Linked DNA regions of Macaca fascicularis. The protein of the gene in region 1 binds, or shares a complex with, the protein of each later gene. Links are inferred from orthologs where the notes say so. Each region holds a gene or a part of one and is shown on either strand. Other genes may lie near its edges.

Region 1 (4,250 bases):
TGGGGTGACTTTGGACCCCCCTCCTCCAGGAGACCCCCAAGCCCCTGGACTCCCACCCAAGCTCAGCTGTAACAAGGGGTGCCCCATTCCCAGTTCCAGCTCCAAGTACCTGAGAGCTGGGGGGCTGGGGGGTGAGTAACGAGGGGTTCCTAGGCTTACACAAGGACCTGGAGGCCACGCTCAGCCCAGGTTAATGAACCACCCAGAGGCCCACGCGGCTCAAAGTCCAGCCCGGCAGAGGAGGGGTGGGGGAGGATTCAGTCAGCACCTTCAGGAAAGACCCTGCACCCCGAGACCCCTGCTGGGGGGTGTGGCGCTGTGGGAGAGCCGACCTTGTCTTCCTCTCTGCACCCTGGGGGGTCCCCCTAGGCTCCAACCAGGAACACAGCCCTCTGGGGAGATGGCGGCTGTCCTGGCAGGGCCTGGGGTGGCCAGGGCAGTCCAGGGGCCAAAACCTTCCCCACCGCCCTTGACCACTGCCAGCCAAGGCTCCATAATTTATGTTCCCAGGCAAGCGCCAGCCTAGACCTCAGTCCATTTCACGAGGTCTTTGTATTTTTACTGCCCGGCCCATCTTGTTAAGGAACCGGATTAAGTTTATTGACCGATCAACTCACTCACTACCTGTTTCACCAGCTCCAGTGCGGGCGGGGTCGCCGCCCCAAGGCGGGGGGCGGGGCGTTCCAGGGGCGAGTAGGGGAGGCCCCGCGCGCCCGCCGGGGATCCGGGAGAGGCTCTGTAGCCTGGCCGCCGCCCCTCCCCGGGGCTGGCTGACATTCCCGGGCCGTAGGGAGTAATATCTTTATCTGAATGAGAATACGAAAGCCAGGCTCCCCCCGCGGCCGCCCCTCCCGCACCCCTGGAAGCGGGGCCGCCCGAGCAGGCGCTAAAAGCGCGCGCTGACCTCCCGACGGCCCCTGTCACGCCGCTGAATGACACGCACATTCAAGCGCCGGGCCACTTTCATTCATAAAAAAAATGACATTGTTCCGGGAGGCTGCAGCCGCCGCCGGAGAAAGGGGCGCGGGGGCGCGGGCGGGGCGGCCGCCATCTGCCTCGGCCCTCCCGGCGCCCTCCCCGGCCTGCCGCGCCCGCAGCCGCTCACACCTCCCCGCGAGCCGCCGCGCCGCCATCAATGCGCGGTCTGTGGCCGCGCCGAGGTACAAAGGAGCGGCTGTTCGGGCCTGGGCCCGGGTGGGGCGCGAACTCACCGGGCCAGGGCCTCCCTCCGCGCGGCCGCCGGGCTGGGCTGTGCGCGCCCCCTTCGCCCGCCCGGAGCCGGCAGCGTGTACGGGGCGGCGGCACCGGAGCTCTCGGCCCGACCCGCGAGGAACCGCGGCGCGCGTGCAGGGCGGGCCGGGCGCCCCTTCCCCTCACCTCCCTTCAGACCCTTGACGTCCCGCAGGACCTGGACCGCCAGCCCGGTCTAGGGCCCGCGACGCTGGGACACGCGCTCCTCGCTCGCCTGGAGCTCGGCGCGCACCCACGGGGAAGCGCCCTCAGCCCCCAGGCACTGGCAGGGTCGGCAGCGGGGGCGCTGGAGGCTGCAGCCTCGTCCGGCGGGCAGGGGCCGGGCTTCGCTGACGCGCACACCCACCCTCAGAAGTCCGGCCTCTCCCCTTGGCCGAAGCTCGCCACAAACTGGGGCCCGGGGGAGGGGGACGCCAACAATGGGAACTTTCCGTCTGCGCAGAACCCGAAGAACAGCGGGAATCGTGGAAATGGGGAAACCCGCGCCCTCCCGACAGGCCAGGGCTGGGGAGCCGCAGGGGACCGGGCTGCGGACGCCAACCCCCGGCCTGGCTCCCCGTGGCGGCCTCGCATTTGGGGGGTACCTGCGGCTCCAGGCGCCCCACAAGTCGCCGCGCTACCGCTGGACGCGCTCTCCGGGAAGGAGGCAGCGGAATCCGGGCGCTGACCCCGGGGCGTCACTCACACCCGGAGTTCCCTCCGACCTGGGGCCGGTTCCCGTCCCCAACGCCTCTGCCCGCACGGGCCGGCCCCTCCCGTGCCCAGTGGGTCCCTTCTTACCTGCCACTCGCCCCACGACGCGCTGCTCCGTCCCCAAGGACTCCGAGGAGGCGCCGGCCACGATGGCCACTGCCACGCAGAGCGCGAGGGCGCAGGCAGGGGCGCCCATGGCGGGGGCGGGGGCCGCGGCGTCCTCAGGCGGCGCACGCGGGCATGCTGCCCCCCACGGCCCGGCGCGGGCACCGGCGGGAGGCGGGCGCCGCTTGGGAAACTGCGGGAGGAGGAGGGCAGCTCGTTAGCGGCGCGGGTAGGGACGAAAGCGGCGGTGGCCGGCTCCTGCGCCCCGACCCCTCCGACCCCCAGCCGCCCCGCCCGCCGCCGCCGCCGCCCAGAGCTCCCGGGCCGCCTGGCGCCGGCCGCCTCCTCCCCGCCGCGGTTCCTCCCTCCTCCCCCTTCCCTCCCTGGCTGCTGCAGAGCCCTCCCAGGGCGGCGGCGGCGGCGGCAAACTTTCCGGAGCGGGAAGCCCGCGCCCCGGCCCGGCCCGCCGCAGGGACTGCTGTGGTTCCGCGACTGCCGCGCCCCGGCCCCTCCGCGCGCACCGTTGGACCCCTCCGCGCGCCTGCCCGGACCCAAGCACCGACCTGGCGGGCGCCGGAGTCCGGCTCGCTAGGCGCGGCTCCCGCTCCGGCTCGCTGTACGCAGGCCCAGCTCCCGCCCCGTCCCTCCGGCCGGCGGCCCGCCGGTGCGTCCGTGCGACCGGCAGAGCAGGACCGCGCGGCGCCAGCTGCTCGCGACGCCGCCACCGCCGCCGCCGCCGCCACCGCGCACTGAGCCTGGGTTGCCCCGCGCGCCGCAGCCAGTGGGGGACGGTCCGCGCCCCGCCCCGGCCCCGCCCCGCTCCCGCCCGGCCCCCGCCCGACTCGCCGGGGCGCAAGGCACGCCCCCTCGGGGCGGAGCGGGGCATCCGAGGGGGCGTGGCCGGGCGGGGGCGCCCGGCGGTCTCGAGGGCGTGGGAGCCGGGGCAGGCGGGCGAGGCCCCCAATCGCACCGCGGGGCGGCCCGGTGGGCGGTGGGCACGGGGCGCACCGAGGGCGAGCGCAGGCCTCCGTTTGCACAGCGCGCAGCTCGGGTCCCCTGAGGCTGTGCTCAGGAGCTCAGAGGGGAGGTCTCGGCGGGGGTCGGGATGTCAGGAGGCGTCGCCAAGATGCCGCGGAGCTGAACCCTGTGGTGTGAGCGGGAATTCCTCAGGTGGAGGAGGGCAGGGCGGCATTCCAGGCCGAGCCTCCGGTGTGCGCCGCAGGCCTGGGGCAGCCCGGTGCGGCCTGCGTACCTGACTGGCGAGGAGCAGAGGCTGCGTTGCCTAACCTGGGGCCGAGCCGCATGCACCTAAGCCGCCTGAGTGCCCAGCCCCGAGAGGTCCCTACCCCTGCCCCCCAGGAGGACACAGGCCTGGGACTGGCTGCCTGCCCGGCCTAGAATGAAGGGCAGGGGCTGGAGACCCCTGGCTTGGGGAGCGCAGCCCGGCTCTGAGGGAGAATAACGAAGAGCTGGTGGCAGAGCCTGAGCTGGCCCGAGGTTCTAGGCTCCACGGGGCGGGCTCAGAGTCCAGCTGAGGAGGGTTGGGACTGGTGAGGTGGGTTCCCAGGAGGGGAAGATACTGCCCTGCGGGGGACGCTGCGGGTGTCTGGGTCCCCTTACCCCACATGACTGTTAGCTTCTGTGTCCACCCTCACAAGGAAAAGGCCAACTGCTCCCATCTTCAGGCAAAGCCCAAGGGGGTCCGGAGCCCATGGGAGCCAGTGAGCTGGGGGGAGGGCCGGCCGAGTCTGCTGCCCGCCTGGCTTGTGGCTTCCAGGACTAAATGTAGTCATCAGGAAAATGGGCGCTAAAAGTCCCTCAGTGACTGGCTGTTTGCTGACCCTACCCAGCCCATGCACAGCTCAACCCTGCAGCTCCCAGAGGCCAGGGTGTCCCTGGACTGACCTCAGGGCCTTGGAAGGGCTCTGCTCCCAGGGAGCCCTCATGCCCACCTCTCTGTGCCCACTTGGTGGCTCAGCACTTGTCCTCGGCCACCCTTGTTTCCTGCTCTGGCCAAGTGCATGTCCCCAGACCATCTTGGGGCCCAGCCTCACTAACCTCCAAGTGCACTGTCCAGCCCCCTCCAGAGCACAGCCCCAGGCCACTGCCAGTCAGGCCCCTCCCAGGACACCGCTCCCCAGGGCACAGCAGCACACTGGCCCTGCTCTTTTTTTTTTTTTTTTTTTTTTTTTTTTTTTTTT
Region 2 (4,274 bases), on another chromosome or scaffold:
CCAACTAGCAGTTTGTTTGCAGCATCAGCAAAATCAAGCATTCACCTGTTACTAATTTCCTCTAAATACAAAGTCCACTGCATTTCTAGGAAGGATGGTTAGTGTTTGGCAAGTTTTTTGTGTTAAGTGTTGAAAAATATAACTGAGAAGTTAATCAGAGGACCACGAGTAGGCACAAAGATCTAAAACATGTTGATTATTTAAAACACCAGAGCTCCAGAGAGCATGCAAGTCTTTATCTTATAATAAAATGATCCTATAAGTCACTATAATAACAACTGACTACTTTGTATACACGAGTTTATCCTAGGGACTCTAAAAATAGAACTTGTAGGATTTAAATCTAAAGTAAAGATTTTACGGGCATGATCTATTAGATCCTCCAGCTGATCCATTTATTTGCTTCCAGTATGAACTGATAACTTGCTTATGTTTTCTTCAAAAAGTGAGACCATTCTTCCCATAGTTTTTCTATCACCAACCATACACTGGTGGTCTTTAGGGTTTTTCAGTTCCATAAAAGGATTGAAAGAGTGTAAGAATCACTGCTCTAAAGTACCCTTATGAAAAGACATACATAAGTATGAAATCACAAAAATCACAATGTGTTTCCAAACAAATCCAACATTCTTTTCTGGCCAGTAGCAGCAAACAGGTTTTGTGGAACTGACATAAAATCTAATTTAGCCATTATTACAACATTACCAGCAGCTCAGAGCACTAAGTTACCTCAATATCCCAGTAGTGCTCTGCCCATATTATCTATGACTTTAATTAAAAGTGTTTAGAAATGGTTTTCATACTGACTTTGTTCAGAATATGTGGCTGAATTCTAAATTTAAAAATAGGTCTTCCAGTAGGCCCACAAGACATCAAAATTGGGTACCAAAAGCTGTACATTTAAACACTTTTATTAAAATGTTTATATATGTACATAAAATATTTTATTGTGACACAAAATTCTGTACAAAGTGTACTAACAACTGACATGATTATAAATGAATCCCCAAAACAATGGCACCTAAATTTGAACACTAAGGAGAAAACAATGGTACCTAAATTTGAACACTAAGGAGAAAACAATGGTACCTAAATTTGAACACTAAGGAGAAAAAAGGAGGAAGAAATACTTGAGACAACTTTACCATGGCATAATAAATATTTCTTGCTGTCAAAATTAATAAAATCTTTTGCGCAGGGGTGTTACAATTAATTTTATCAGGCTAACAATGTCATAAGTGAGGAACCCTTTCAACTGTAGAGAGCACTGTAGAAATACAGGTGTGGTAGAACAATCTATATCACCCTGCAGTTGTTTCTGTTTTTCTATGACTAGCTTTGTTTGAGATTGTATAAAGTGGTCTTCACACCCCTGGTGAATAAGTTTGGTGGAAGCAGAGTTCCCTACCCTACCGCAGAAGGGACCTCCAAACACAGTTTAAAGCTGACTCTCGGGGAGCTGTGTTTTGACATTTTCACAACAGTGTGAATTTGTGCCACAAGCAAGACAGATCTTATTGGATTAACACTGAACTCGTGACATCTCCACAGACAGTAATTCTCTCTTGTGCAGCTTAAGAACAAACGTGTTTCCTTCATCCACCCTGCTCATTCTCTCCTGTAGTTTCCCCTAGCAAATCCACCCCGCCATCACCTCTAGGAATTCCTCTACACCCAGAGAAAGGAGTTCCTTTCCTCACTGCTGAAATCGATTCCCACTTCCTTTCCACAGATGGGCTCCAAGGGGCACTCACTCGTGTGCCCACTGAGGGATTTATCTCCTAATTCCTCACTTTCCAACGGAAGTCAGAGCTGCTCAGTTTCCCCCTGGTGACCACATACACGTGTCCAAGTGAAGCCTCGTCTGGGGGAATCTCAGTTCCCACACTTCCCCCTGGCCCCACCTGGGGCCCTCTGTCTCCCCCGCGTGGCCCTCCGCCTGGCCCCTCGCACTCACCAGGAGGAGGTTGTGCGCCACCAGGTACCCAAGCCGCGGGCTGCCCCGGATGCCGGGGGCCAGGCGCCCGGTGGCGTAGCCGTGCCAGGCCACGACGTAGGGGTTGTCGATGGTGATCCAGTACTTGACCTGGCCGCCGAAGTGGCGGAAGCAGAGCTCCGCGTAATCCCTGAAGTGGTCGGCCAGGGCGCGGTTGGCCCAGCCGCCGTAGGCGTCCTGCAGGCGCTGGGGCAGGTCCCAGTGGTACAGGGTGACCACCGGCTGCACGCCCAGCTCCCGCAGCCGCTCCAGCAGGCGCCGGTAGTAGCGGAGCCCCTCGCGGTTGGGGACGCCCGCGCTGCCATTGGGGAGCACCCGTGCCCACGAGATGGAGAAGCGGTAGTGGGTGACCCCGAGCTCGCGCAGCGCCTCCGTGTCGCGGAAGACGTTGTTGTAGCTGTCGCTGGCCACGTCCCCGGTGGCGGGCTGCAGCGGCGACGGCGCGCCCGACGGCACATTGGCGATCCGGGAGTCTCCCGGGGGTGCCAAGGGGTGGTGGGTGAACGTGTCCCAGATGGACGCACCCTTGCCGTGCTGCTGCCAGCCGCCCTCGGTCTGGTAGGCGGCGCTGCCCACGGCCCAGAGGAAGCCGTCGGGGAAGGTGCCCTGGAAGAGGCCCGCGGCCTCGGGGGCGGGAGGGCGCGCGAAACGGGCCCAGGTCTGCGCGCCGTCGCCCGGCTCCGCGCGCAGGCGGCGGCCGCCCAGTGCCAGCAGCACCAGCAACAGCGACAGCGACAGCGACGGCGGCGACGGCCGCAGGCGGCGCGGCGGGGCGCTGGCGGGCATGCTGCGCTGGAGCCAGGCGCCGGGGCCCCGCGCCGCGCCCCTTTATGCCCGCGCCCTGCCGCGCCGCCCGCCCCCCGCCGGCGCGCCCACCCCCGCTCCCCGGCTGGCTCCGCTGGCAATAATTACCTGAGCCGGGCCTGCCTCCGCCCTGTCACCGGGGGCGGGGGCGCGGAGGGCCAGAGGTCCCCGGGAGGGGCGCGGCAGTGGGCAAGGTGCTAGAGGCGTCGCTAGCGGACGTCGGAGAAAGGCACCTGTTTCTCCCATCTCCCGGGAGCCGCGCAGGACGTTTCGGGGACGCTCAGGTTCATTCTCTTTGCCGGCCGCGCGTCCTCCGAGATCAGCCCTGGAGCGGCTTCGTCTGGGAGAAAAGGCGCCGACCAACTAGCCCCGACTTGGGCGCGGGATCCTGCCGGGCCCTGGAGGAGCGCGCGGTTGGGGAAGCACCTGCTCTCACTTTTCTCCCACTCGGAGGCCCAGAGAAGCTCCGGCTGGACATTGCTGGAGCCAATTAGGGACTGGCCGAAATCCTAGAGGGACGGCCAGGTGGGACAGCCAAGGGGGAACTTCACCGTGTGCTGAGAGAAAGGGATTCCCCGCTTAGGTGAGATGATCGCCGGGAGACTAGCCCACGCGCACCCCTCTTTCGAGGAAGACAAAGTAGATTTATGGGTTGCGTTGGGACTGGGGTTTTACTCTCCCTTTTACTGTTACCTTTTAATCATTTCAAACCAGCACTCTGTCTTTGATTAGATCTATCAGAATTCCCTGGTGAACTTCAAATCACAGTTGTTGATTGTTCTCCTGAAAAACCAAACACCAAGTTTCCAATTTTGAGTAAATCTCATTCACCTTTATTATCCTTTGGCACCTGTGTTAGCTTTCGGCTCTGACTTAGCAGGTAATCTGTGCAAAGTTGTGCGCACAGCCCTGCTGGAGAGGGAGGTCCCTGGGTCCCACATTTGCCATCTGAGCTGTGGAGGGAAAGGGGAGGGGGGATTTAGCCGGAACACCCATTCCCATCCTCTACAATACAATGGAGCCATGACGTTTTTCCTGTTGCCAAAGAGCCCTTTTGACAGAAATTGCAGAGCCACGGTGTCCATTTGGATGTGGGTAGAAAGGATTGTGAATAACCGAGATACAGTTGGTGGAGACTGAGAAGGTCTAGGCTCCACCTTTATGATTTTGGGCAGGAAACCTCTGTAAGCCTAAGTTTCTTCGTCTATAAAATAGGGGTGTCCTGTCTGCCCTGCCGCCTCAGAGGCTTGTGAAGTGCAATGAAAAACTGCGCAAAGGTGACTCAAAGATAGAAAGAAAGCCCAGACAAGGGAAGGCTCTTGCTAATATCTCTACCTTCCTATCCAGTAAGTCGTGCCTCAGTTTCCTCATCCCTACACGTGTGTTGAATGACTAAGATCCTTACAGAGGTGCATCCATTCTCCCAGTGATCTATGTTCCCCGCATTATTTCATACAAATTTAAAGGCAATAAA
Region 3 (4,037 bases), on another chromosome or scaffold:
CTCGCTCTGTCGCCCAGGCTGGAGCACAGTGGTGTGATCTCAGCTCACTGCAACCTCCGCCTCCTGGGTTCAAGCAATTCTCCTGCCTCAGCCTCCCAAGTAGCTGGGATTACAGGCACGCACCACCACGCCCAGCTAATTTTTGTATTTTTAGTAGAGACAGGGTTTCCCCATGTTGGCCAGGCTGGTCTTTAACCCCTGACTTCAAGTGATTCTCTTGCCTTGGCCTCCCAAGGTGCTGGGATTATATGCATGAGCCACCACACCTGGCCTCTTTTGGGTAACTTTTAATTGTATTGTGTAATTTTTTTCCTGCACTTTTTCCCCCCCATAATACACGTGACAACTGATTGAACAGTACAAAAAGTTATCTACATAGACTAGGAAAGGCAGATCTCTCTCCCACTCCCCTGACCCTAAGTTCCCCTCCCCATATTCGTGTTTAACTCTTTAAAGATGCAATGTTTAGCTAGTGCCTGTGTCTAAGAAAACAAAACCGTATTTCTGTTTTTAAAGATCTGAAGTCAGTTCCATTTGTTTTGCTGCCTCTCAATCCTTTTAATTCAGCTAGCACTCAATGATCCCTTGGGGCCTGATACGAGGTGGGTTTTCAAGGAAAAGGTCTACAGTTCAGAATGCCAGCCCAGGAGGTCGACTCTTCACACTCACTCCCCACCGTAGCCAGCCTGTTCCGTTCTACCCTAATTCTTGTTCAGGAGGAAACGTCTTTAAGGAGTTCCTTTCAGCAATGGGATTCCAGGATTCGAGACAAGTTGTGTAAACATTCTCTAGTTGGATGCCGCCCTTTCCATCTAAGAGAATCAAAACAATTTACCATCATCTACTATTCTGCATTTTAAATCACATAGAGTCTTGAATCAGAGTAAGAGTGGCCGCTCCATGAGAGGCGCAAAGTCGCATTTCCTAAAGTCTGGTAGTGAGCTGGCTGACAAGGCAGGACGACAGACCACAAGGTCCTTGAGGGGTTGTGTCTTACTTTTCAGTCACAGAGCTTGATAGAATGCCAGGCACATTGTAGATCCTGTTAAATATCCATTGAATAAAATGAACAACACTTGGGGTTCATCAAGTATATCCAGATTTAATTGAAATTTTTGCCACGAGACTCACACTTGGTTTCCAAGATGTTGACTCCTGAGTCTTAGTATATCCTCTAGAGTTCTGGAACCTGTTTGGTATTTGGAGAGAACTTTTCTCTCTCCTTTTATCTCCTATCAATATGCATCTAGCACTTGAGGAGGTTTAAACTGTCAATTTCGCATGTCATATATCTTGCAACTTAATTTTGCATGTTATATATCTTGCAACCAGGTTTAAGGACCTTTGGTTCCTAGAAGAATAAATGCCTCACACACAGCAAGGTCACAGCAAAAATAATTAACTTATTACAACAATAAAAGGCAAATCATAATTCCTATGTTTTCTTTAGTTAGAGATTGTCTAACTAATTTTTCTTTCCCTTAATTTGAGCTATATTGGATCACTTTGCATTTTTATATATTCTCAGAGGTATTCACATGTTTTCTTAAAATAGAAGATCCAGTCTTTTTCAATATCCCTGCTCCCACCACATTACCCCTTATATAGGTGCGCACAAAGTGGCCCTCATTTGAATCGTTGCTAATGGATTGATTATTGTGGATTGTGATCCAATTCTCCACAAACCTGATCTTTAAAAACATTCCAGTTGTCTCACATTGCCAATAAGTTTCTAACTAGCTTGACTTGCTACTGACTGGACACCTTTCAGTTCCACGGAGAAGAATCACCAATGCGTACTGGGTACCGGGGTACCTGAGTATCTGAAACAGCCTTTAAACCTGTTAAAGTTTAAAGGTTGGATGGATGGATGCATGGACAAATGAATGGGTGGATGGGTTGTATACTTGGCCATTCTCACCAAGACAACATTCCTGGACGGTCTGTGTTTAATACATTTTTCCAAGAATTTTTATAAGGCCAGAATTGGAAAGAGCCCCCAGATTTATCTATTACAATCTGGGTATGACCTGGGAATCTTCTTTCCAACCTGCCTAGTTAACCCAGCCTGAAGTCCAGGAGCTGAAACTTAGTGTCTGTTGATCTGCCTGGCTTCTTTTTCTCTTAGACTCCTTGCTTTTTTTCAGTATATTTTCTGAATCTTTTGATGGGGCAAAGGGAATATGGCTCCTACTGTGGGAAGGGTTTTAGTTTAAACAAAAAGTATGCATGTTAGAAAAACCAGCAAATACTAATTAGGAGAGTGACAGAATCTTCCCCTAAGATTTAAATACACACACACACACACACACACACACACACACACACAGACAATAAGTGGTTCCTGGGCAGAAAGCTTGGAGGGTTGGATTAGCCCTCCAGTCTAGTCCCCAACCTCCCCAAGCCCCCTGTAGATGGACAACAGGGGCGCACCCCTTCTTCCCAGCTTGAAGTCCTACTCACTGTAGATGGTCTGATGTGGTGCGCCATCCACGTGGCCATTCTTGTGGATCTGCAGGTGGTAGCTGTTCCTGGCTGTGGCTGTGTACAGGTGGATCAGGCCACCCCAGCTGGAGCCGAGCAATGGGGAGGCATTGGGATAGGCTCTGATGACGCTCATGCTGCAGACGCTGCACAAGGCACAGACCCAGAGCCTGAGGCGGGCCCCCAACATCACGCCCTGCTCTGAGTGGCTGGTGCTGAGATTGAAACCTGACACTCCTGTCGGGACTCTCCTGGCCCAGGCCTCACTGGCCTTTTCCTTCTCCCTTGCAAGTAGCTGGTGTGAGGATCCTAGACTGAATTCCCTCCTTTTTGCCATCAGACTTTTAAAGGGTAGCAGTGTGACATCAAACAGGAAAAACTCCGCTGTCCACATCCTCTGTGTTGTAATCAGCCCATTGAAAGAGAGTGCAGAGACCCCGGAGGCGCACGGAAGGCACGTCGGTTCCAGACACACACACCCCCCTCAATTTCAAGCCAACGCTCCAAAAAAATGAATGACGCGTGGGCAAAAGTTATCTGCCGCTCTGGGCTGTCTGTTGACCTGTCCCACGTCCATCAGGAAATGCGAAGGCAGCCAGCGGTTCCCAAAAAAAATCCAGCTTCAGTCAAGCAGTCAACCGACTCCCAGGCAATTAATCTCCCGTCGAGTTTACTTATTTTGGTTTTCTTTAAATTCCAATCAGCAAGTATGTATCAGTGCTTAATCTATGAGCAGGATTCGGTGGCTAGCTTGTAGGATATAGAGATACATGACACCGTCAGGCAGATGGCATCCTCTGAGAACCCCCAATTCGTGAAAGATGGGAGCTGGGAGCAGGGGCACAAAAACCAAAGTTGCCATTTTGGGAAGATTTTGAAATGGAAGAAAAAGAAGCAAGGTCTTGAGCTCACTGAACATGCCAAGGTTCGATTTCTCAGCGTCCTTAGTTTGGACTTCGCTGAACATGCCAAGTTTCAATTTCTCAGTTTCCCTAGTTTGGACTATCGAGGACAACTAAATGAATAGTCTCTCCAGGAGTAAGGAGACCCGTTCAGAGACCTCATGGGGATTGGAAAGGCTGCTGGCTGAGCACCGGGAATCCGAGCCTCAGGACAGGGTGTCCCCACATTTAGTGTCTGTACATGAGTGCTCAGCTTGGTGCTGGATGCCTGCCTGCAGATGCTGTTCACAGTGCGCCCTCTGGGAAGCTACACCTCATGTTGGGGGGAATAGTCCTGGCACGCACAGTCTAAAGGGGAGCAAGCTACTGCAACATACACCCGAAAAAATACCCAAGGAGATTGCTCCTCTTCCAATTTCCCATGTACTGAGTACATGCCATGTACAGGCATCAAGCTAGACATCACGTACAAGTTGATATAGGAGACAGCAAGATGTGATTCCTATCTCGAGGAGCTCAAATCTAATGCAGGAGGCAGATAAAAATAAGTAACCGTAATACAAAATGAGTGCAAGCATACAGGTATAGACAGAAAGAAATGGCATCTGTTACCCTACATTTGTGCAGTTTTTTTTTTATAGTTTACAAAGC

What was found.
Region 2: the proteins of FGFR3 (region 1) and KL are in contact, whole or in part, in a cryo-EM structure (PDB 7YSU), measured with the Homo sapiens proteins. The link is inferred for Macaca fascicularis from reciprocal best matches to the Homo sapiens genes FGFR3 and KL. Residues at the interface, in NP_000133.1 of Homo sapiens: Gln286, Leu288, His290, Val291, Val293, Gly299, Thr303, Pro304, Tyr305, Val306, Thr307, Val308, Leu309, Lys310, Glu320, Leu324, Ser325, Leu326, His327, Asn328, Val329, Glu332, Asp333, Thr338, Leu340, Phe347, His349; in NP_004786.2 of Homo sapiens: Ser539, Gln540, Phe541, Thr542, Asp543, Asn545, Val546, Tyr547, Leu548, Trp549, Asp550, Val551, Ser554, Lys555, Arg556, Leu557, Val563, Lys566, Arg568, Tyr571, Val573, Ala576, Pro580.
Region 3: the proteins of FGFR3 (region 1) and FGF23 are in contact, whole or in part, in a cryo-EM structure (PDB 7YSU), measured with the Homo sapiens proteins. The link is inferred for Macaca fascicularis from reciprocal best matches to the Homo sapiens genes FGFR3 and FGF23. Residues at the interface, in NP_000133.1 of Homo sapiens: Glu157, Arg158, Asp160, Lys161, Leu163, Leu164, Ala165, Val166, Pro167, Arg223, Asp244, Leu246, Glu247, Arg248, Ser249, Pro250, Val277, Tyr278, Ser279, Asp280, Ala281, Gln282, Pro283, His284, Ala312, Gly313, Ala314, Thr316, Thr317, Asp318; in NP_065689.1 of Homo sapiens: Ser29, Leu32, Gly33, Ser34, Trp36, Tyr43, Ala45, Ala47, Arg48, Asn49, Ser50, His52, Ile75, Arg76, Ser77, Glu78, Asp79, Ala80, Gly81, Val83, Val84, His117, Gln118, Thr119, Asn122, Gly123, Tyr124, Asp125, Leu158, Ser159.

The regions. Positions count from the first base shown.
Region 1 is NC_088379.1:1,935,357-1,939,606, reverse strand, and holds the start of FGFR3 (fibroblast growth factor receptor 3), read right to left. Parts: upstream 2,801-4,250; 5' UTR 2,613-2,800; intron 2,243-2,612; 5' UTR 2,141-2,242; coding exon 2,032-2,140; intron 1-2,031.
Region 2 is NC_088391.1:12,724,689-12,728,962, reverse strand, and holds the start of KL (klotho), read right to left. Parts: upstream 2,801-4,274; 5' UTR 2,783-2,800; coding exon 1,958-2,782; intron 1-1,957. UniProt on the Homo sapiens protein: May have weak glycosidase activity towards glucuronylated steroids. However, it lacks essential active site Glu residues at positions 239 and 872, suggesting it may be inactive as a glycosidase in vivo.
Region 3 is NC_088385.1:5,238,102-5,242,138, forward strand, and holds the start of FGF23 (fibroblast growth factor 23), read right to left. Parts: upstream 2,801-4,037; 5' UTR 2,675-2,800; coding exon 2,464-2,674; intron 1-2,463. UniProt on the Homo sapiens protein: Regulator of phosphate homeostasis. Inhibits renal tubular phosphate transport by reducing SLC34A1 levels. Up-regulates EGR1 expression in the presence of KL. Acts directly on the parathyroid to decrease PTH secretion. Regulator of vitamin-D metabolism.